Oryzias latipes: one gene and its partner. The protein of the gene in region 2 interacts with the protein of the main gene of each other region in a pairwise test. Links are inferred from orthologs where the notes say so. Each region holds a gene or a part of one and is shown on either strand. Other genes may lie near its edges.

Region 1 (4,211 bases), on a different chromosome or scaffold from region 2:
TATTTCTTTCTCACTCCATGCATCTGCTCCTGGTCCGGCCCTTCTATTCAATTTTAGAACCCTATGTTGCCCAAGAGTCAAAATAATTGCCCACCCCTGGATCACAGTTATTTTTAGAACGTAACTCCTGTAATATACGAGGTAACTCTGTACTGGTGAAAAGGTAACGCAGATATATGTCCAGCTGCAGCAGAAGACATAGAAATGTGCTTTTTTCCTTACTGGATGAGAAACAGAGAGCTGCAGCCCTCAAAGTCTCAGCTGGTCTGAGACGGAAGAGGATCGACTATTAATTGTTTTTTCTTTTTAATGTATCAGTCAGTATATTTTTCCTGACATTTTGTCTTTGAAAATCACAGAGAGAGTTATTGGTCATTTTTTGTTTCATAAATAGTGTTATTTATATTATTAAAGAGATCATGAATTAATAAAACTTTATTATAGGGCTTTACAATAAAAAAAATATAAAAGAAGTTTTAAGTTTTAAAGAAAAAGACTTATTGTGGCCTTCACTACAAAAATGTTGGGGACTTCGCTCCAGCATCCATGTGGTGTTTGAAGATTTGTTGTTTTTCATTCTTACGATCATTTAAACACCACATGAATGCAGCATTCCTCAAAGTTTTACATGAGGTACATCAAGCCATTGGTGCAATTGGCTCTAAAATGAGAGCAAAAGTTTTTAACCTAAAAACTTTAAAATGCTCTGTTTTAAAATATAATTTTCAATCCAAATGTTTTCATCCAGATTCCATGTTATTTCTTCCTCACTCCACGCATCTGCTCCTGGTCCAGCCCTTTTATCCAATTTTAGAACCCTATGTGGCCCGCGAGTCAAAATATTTGCCCACCCCTGCTCTGGACTGTTAAAATTGTATTCCTCTCCTTTCCACTGTCCTTTTTTACATAATGACAGATACAGTTTCATAGGCTTATAAAGGCTTTACCGGAAGCATTAAAAAAATTACATCTATTTTATAGGTTAAAGACTTAACTTGTCTGCACATTCAGATGGCCTTGATTCTACTACAAGATACTTGTTTTGTGGAAATTTCATTTTTTACTGATTTAAATAAAATTAAATTTTTTCTCATTACCAATCAGTTTTATGATAATTAAATAAATCTGCATCACGTTAACTAAACACTTGGATTTTGTGATTTAAAAAATGACTATATTTTATTGTTTTACTTTTTGTACTAATATTTTATTACAGAGAGAAAACGCTGTATTTGTAATAACTAAAATGTATTCATTTTTTTAATCTTCTGCTACTACCTTTTTGAAGTGTGGTTTCCTTTGTATTTTGGTATTGTTGATTTTTTTAAATAAAGTTTAAATGCTTCCAATTCACCGGAACTACACGAGATCACGTGAAACGAGCAAAACAAATATGGCGGTCACAGAGAGAGTACCATAAAGCTAAGCGGTCATCCTTTTTGCGTTAATTCTCATTTTCTAGTTGTTTTAAAAACATTTTTACTGCCATATGCACGTCGCTTGATGAATACGAGCGTCCTCGCGCCGCAGAATCGACCACAGAGCAAAACCGAAACCAAGAAAATGAACGGAAGTGTCAGGCGTTCGTTTGAAAACAAACATCCGGCTTTGCGTCGCGTGCGTTTTTGTGTCCCTGTTAAGAGATGGACAGACATGAACTCTTAGGTGAAGGAACGTCTGTGATGTTCGTGAACGCGGATAAGGCCGCGGGGCGCCGCAAGCTTAAATAAGGACGAGCCGCCATGGGTTTTGTTAACTTAGTGATAACTTCAGTAGGAAAATGTCTGGACGCGGTCTGCTTCCTTCTGGACCTAAACTTTCTCATGGTCCACACGGTGGTCCGGACTCTCCTGACTCTGCTTGCCTTCATACACAGCGTGCCCTCCCTCCTCATCAGTTCGGCTCTGCAGCTGGGGAACCTCTGCATGTACTGCGGCATGTGCGTGGCAGAGGCATCCTCACACCTCGCCCACGGCTCGGTCAGCCTGCTGGGTAGCGTGGTCCTGGCCCTGGAGGGGCTGCTGGAGAGCCTGAAGATGGTGGGTTACCTGTCGATGCACGTGCTGCTCAGAGGAAAAGAGCACCTGTACCGCAGTGTGCTGTCACTTCTGGAGGGTTGTGGCATTGCTCTCAGCCTGGTGGTCTACTTCACCAATACGGTGGTGAACTTTGTCCTCATTGCCACCCACAATGTCTACTTGGCAGCAGTCAGTGTGTGGCAGACGGTGTCCAGCCCACTCCAGAAGGTGGTGGAGCTCGCTCTGACCTCCATCACTTGTCTGTCCAGCTGCCTGACGGGAACGTCAGCTTTCCTGTGGTCTCCTTGCAAGCTGGTTCTGGACTTCCTGATCTCCCTGCTGCATATGTTCATCAGTATCTTCATATTGAACATCTATGGCCTTCTACTCACCGTCACTATCGCCTTGACTACCACCGCCTACCTTAACCCAGGACTGGTCCATCAAGCCTTTATTCGCCTCGTGGAATACATGAAGTCTTTTTCTGTTTTGCGGGGATTTTATCGGGCTGTCCATCGCTGTGTCACGGCCCTGTGGAACACTCGACATCTGCTCCGCCGAAACATGCAACACCTGCATAGGTCTCTCCGTCACCTCCAGCTACTGCAGGCTGCCATGTGGCAGCAGCTGTCTCAGTGCAGCAGGCAGCTGTGCCGTCTTCTGCGAACGATGCTGCACAGGGGCAACAGAGTCGGAGGCGACGGCGACCCCGGAGAGAGGAGGCGGGACCCGCCGGACGGGAGAGCAGGAGGCGGGGACCACCGGGAGCTGCTGGATTTAGTGTTTCCCTCCTCCAGCAAAGACGGCCCTTTGAAAAAGCTGCTGTCTTCTGGAAAGAAGCGTAAACATTTGCCTGCTGAAAGCCTACTGACTTTACTGAAGGAGCAGGAGGAGAGGAAGAAGTGCGTGATCTGTCAGGATAGCACCAAAACCGTGGTGCTGTTGCCGTGCCGACACCTGTGCCTGTGTCGAGAGTGCACAAACATCCTTCTGAGGCAGCCCATCTACCAGCAGAACTGCCCTCTCTGTCGTCACATGATTCTCAACACTATGGACGTGTATTTATAGGGATCAATGATCCGTGAAAAGCCTTACAGTATTTACAGAAATAGAAAGGAGTAACGATAAGCCTAAGAGTAACACCAACACTGTTCTTATGTGATATTCAATCTGTTCTTTCTCCATAAAGCTGTAAATCTAAAAAAAAAAAATGTATCTGTAATGTTTTATTTTGAAGGTACTCCTCAATCTTAAAGGGATCAGTGTTAAAACAGATCATAGTGGATACTTGGTATATCGCTTTTACTATTTTAGATGTGAAAAGCAAAGAAGATTTCCAGACTCTTCTTGCAAAACTGGGTAAAAAGCTGTGGAAACTAAACTCAAAAGTTGCACATACTCAAAACGAATGCCAAAAATCTGCAGTCTAAGCTCCATTCTGCACATTTGATACCAAAATGAGACAAACATTGATTAACACGCATAGTAAATCTGTTTTTATAGACCAGAAGTGTGTTTTTTTTAATGCTGGGTAGTGCTGTCACTAACAGTCTCATTTGGATTCTATTTTTTTTTTATGTTTCTTTTGTTAGCTTTCTTTTTCGACGTTTATTTATGGAATAATTCTATCTCTAAATAGTATTTTTACTTGCCCTGCATTTAAAATTAACAATGCTCTGTGCATAGGATACACATGTACCGTTGAAAGTATTTTTTGATTTTTTTTTTCCCACTTTTAACCCTCATTTCCATATTAACCTATTAACATTGCATCCTAATGCTGGTTAAAGGTAGTTAGCTTAAAATCTCTAGTACTCAAAGAAAAGTGAGGCATCCTTTTCATATTTTAACCCAAGAAATCTACCAATACAAATGGAACATACCATGTGTGTAGCAGGGTCGTACTAAGTTATCAGAAGTGCAAAAACGCTAAAACTGTGTACACAAACATTTTAGAATAAAAATTGTGCTTTAGGTTTGTGTTCCTGTCACTCTCATTCTAAACAGCTGCAGTCTTTGTTGTTTCACTACATTGCTGTTGAGTCTCAGGTGTTCTGATCCATGTGTGCCCCCCAGAAGAGCTGAAGCGTTTCCCACCGCTCACATCTTAAAGCACTGAGTAAAGGTGCCATTTTTATCTGTTCCTATCACAAACCTGGCAACCCATAAGGAGTTTCGAGTTTTTCCCTCTGA
Region 2 (3,561 bases):
TCAGACAGTGCTCTCACAACCCTGCAGAGGACTGAATGTCGCTGGAATGAGTCAGATTAAAGGCTTTGGTTTTGACACTTCATGCAGAATTGACAGATTCTGGTGGTTGACTCTTAGGATGATGATGAGAAATTACATTAACCCCGTCTCAGGCTAGTGTTCTTAAAATGATGAAGGAAAATGTCAAAATCTAAATAAATTCATTTAATTCATAAAAACAAAAGCAAGTAACTATTTTAAATATCTACAAACTCCACTGTATTTAATAGATGAATTGAATACATGTTGTAAGCGGAAGTATTTTGTAGTAGTTTTAGTTTAAATCAAAACTGTCTTTTCCATGTTTTCCTGCTTAGTGACAGTAAACTATATTATTTTCAGAAAAGATACTTATAAATGCTGAGTGAACATGTTTAGTTGTTTTAAAAATAAAATTGATATGTTTTGGCAAATTACTTAAATAACATGTTATGCAACTTCTAAAAATACATGCTAATAATAAACTATCATTAATAAAGTGAAGTGGTCAGTTAGAAAAAGTTGTTTATATTAAGGGATGTTTTTCTGCTTCTGTTGTTGTATTCAAAGAATAGAGAGAACAGATTACAGTTCATTCAAATGTATTCTGTTGTATAGTAATTTTGGACCTGATAAGGATTTTGATGATTCTTTATTTAAACCATTTTTTTAAATGTTTTTTTGCATTAAAATCTAAACTAAAAGTAACTTCAGGGTTTTTCTCTTTTATTTTTTTCTACTAAAATCTATCAAATGTTTTTATGTTTAAGAGAGAGCTGTAGGATAGTTATCACTTTTGTTGGGAGATGTTTTTTTTTAAATAAATGTTATGACTTGCACAGCACTTATAAAAGAACGAGCAGCCAAAGTGCCGAACACAGAAATTAAATATAAATAAAATCCCTAAACAATAAAAGAAAGAATAATGATAAAACGATGAAAGCCATGAAGCATTACTAGTTAACCGGTTTGTGTGGTCACATATTATTTTGGCCACTTTATCATTGCTGCGTCACTGCCACAATCTTTTCCACCATTGTTCTGGCAGTGTGATGCTGAAGGACAGCAGATACTGCAGAAAGTGACCTGCCGGCACATTTCAGCCGTGATCCTGGCGTCTGCGTCCCATGTTCCATATCTGGGTACACGGGACTGCTTTCACAAAACGAGTGTCAAAGATAAAAGGGGAGTGTGTTGTCCCCGAAATGTTAAATGAAGGTGAAGAAAGCTGCAAACTCCTGGGTTTTTTCCATCACATGGAGATCAGATAGCTTACACGTGATACAAGAAGCAGTTTGTGAGGAAAAGAACTGTGCTTGATGTCTGTATGTTTTTTAATTGTTTACAAATGGAATTTAACCCAGGATAAAGAGCTTCTCTAAAGTATGTGCCGTCTTGCCTCCTTTTTGGTTTGCATGTCATAAAGCAGAACCAGAAGATTATGAAACAACTTGTCATTCTATACTGACCAAATGTTTTTCTTGCAGCAACTAAGACTAAATGTCTGATTTGATTCTTTCTATCATATAAATAAAGTAAATGTTTAACCTCTTTTAAGTCTATCTTCATAAATTCTTTGTTCATTCAAGGAGGGACCACTTGTGTTTAGATGCAGTTCAGAGTGAAATCTTTTCTATAAAAATTCTATAATTTTTTTTAATAGAATTTAAAGAAATGCACTAAAACATTTTTCTGGGCTAATGTCGATTATCTATTCAAGTTGTAAAATGTATATTTTCCTTGTTATTGCCAGATAATTGACTCAAATACCTGTGTGCTCATAACTATCTGTTGCATGAAAGCCAGCTAATTTAATAACCGTTGATTCTACCTTCTAGCCATAAAACAAACCATCTTACAACTTCTAGTGGATCAACATTTTGGCCAGCAGCTGTCGGTGAGCTGCCCATTTTAGAGGCTGCTGTTGTTTATGGAAACCTACTGAACATTCCTCTCCTTTATCTATTGCTTTATTGTTCCCTCAGTGGGGGTAGAAAGCAAGTCTGAAGACATTCTGACCATATTTTTTAATCGCATCACAGATTGGATGTCTCGTTAATGCTGCTTTTATTTTGGTGGGGTTATTGAATCCTGTTTTTTGTCTCTTGCTTGTCTTTTAGGTGGATTGTAGATATGGAAGGAGCGCCTGGGACTCTGTATGAAGGAGAGAAGTTTCAGCTACTTTTCAAATTTAGTGGTCGATATCCTTTTGATTCACCCCAGGTAAGCACGGCCCCACACGACCCTGAATGTGAGACTTTCTAGAGCTCTTTGTCCCGTGCAGCTGGAAAGGTTTAATAATAAATCAGGTTCTTTTTAAGAACTAGCAGCTAGACTGAGTGTCTACGTTTGACGGAACTATTGGAGGCTTTGAAAGATCTCTATTCAGACAAAAAAAGACAATAACATAAGGATAAACTAAGGCAATTGCTCCTTTTCCATGGCTGATAAGAAGTTTTTCCTGTTTTAGACTAAAGGTTCTGCAAATCAATGTGAGAAATGGAGGTAAAAGTTGTTTAGTACCTGTACAGAGCTGCTTTATGGGTGGTGTATTGGTCACACTCTCTTGTTAAAGGAGCGTGCTTTAGAAACAGTGGAGCTTGGATTCAGTCAAATAGTTTCACTCGACTGTTTGTTATGCTAGTCAATTTCTTGACCATCTAAAAATCCAAAATTCCGAACTAAAACCCAACTGAGCTGCTTGGACACAACTCTATTTACTGTAAGGCCAGACTGTCAAAGGTCGGACAGGTCAATACTGTTCGATGGCGTTCTGTGTTTGTGTTCGGTTGCATCAACATAATCAGAGAAAATGTCCCTTACTTTCTGGGATTCTCCCCAACATGCTCATAAATATGTTGCCTTATAAAACTGACCTGATCTATTGATTTTCTGTTTTAGAACCACCTGATGTTAGACTCTAATGAAAGGATTTCTTTGACGTAGTTTACTTCTATAGATGTTCACACTTCTCATTTGCTGCCAAAGCTTAAAGTTAAACACTTCAAAATCTTCACTCACCACCATCCTGAAATTTCTCGACATCTTTCGATTTCTAGACGTATTGGCTAATTTTGTTCATAGATTGCTAGTTTTTGAATAGCTTTTAGGTTTTTGGATTAATCAATCTTTAGTTTTGTGTTATGTTTGCTTATAAATAAAGCTGTTCTTGTTTTTTTAAATCATTTTTTTATTTTACCTGGAAATAATTTGTAATTTTAGATGTTCCTATCTGCCTTGTATTTTGCTCTCTGTGAGTGAAGGATTATACATCTTAACCCCAATCTCAGCTCTTTCTCTGGTGCTATAATCTGGATTATATGGACATTGATTACCTGTTTACAAATCAGTAATAACGTAAGAAGGCTAAAAGTACAGTCTTCCCATATCGAATCAATCGTACAAAACAAAGAAAAGCTCTTATTTTTAGCAGCATAAACCATAATGTAAACAGTGAGTAGAAGCAGCTGGAATGAGGAAACTCTTTGCCATATTTTCACTGCATTATAATCTTTCTGCCTCCTTTACTGACCTTTTATATGA

What was found.
Region 1: the proteins of ube2w (region 2) and rnf26 interact in a two-hybrid assay, tested with the Homo sapiens proteins (2 studies listed by BioGRID and IntAct). The link is inferred for Oryzias latipes from reciprocal best matches to the Homo sapiens genes UBE2W and RNF26.

The regions. Positions count from the first base shown.
Region 1 is NC_019871.2:16,451,279-16,455,489, forward strand, and holds the start of rnf26 (E3 ubiquitin-protein ligase RNF26), read left to right. Parts: upstream 1-1,365; 5' UTR 1,366-1,742; coding exon 1,743-3,086; 3' UTR 3,087-4,211. UniProt on the Homo sapiens protein: E3 ubiquitin-protein ligase that plays a key role in endosome organization by retaining vesicles in the perinuclear cloud.
Region 2 is NC_019878.2:16,091,554-16,095,114, forward strand, and holds part of ube2w (ubiquitin-conjugating enzyme E2 W), read left to right. Parts: intron 1-2,138; coding exon 2,139-2,241; intron 2,242-3,561. UniProt on the Homo sapiens protein: Accepts ubiquitin from the E1 complex and catalyzes its covalent attachment to other proteins.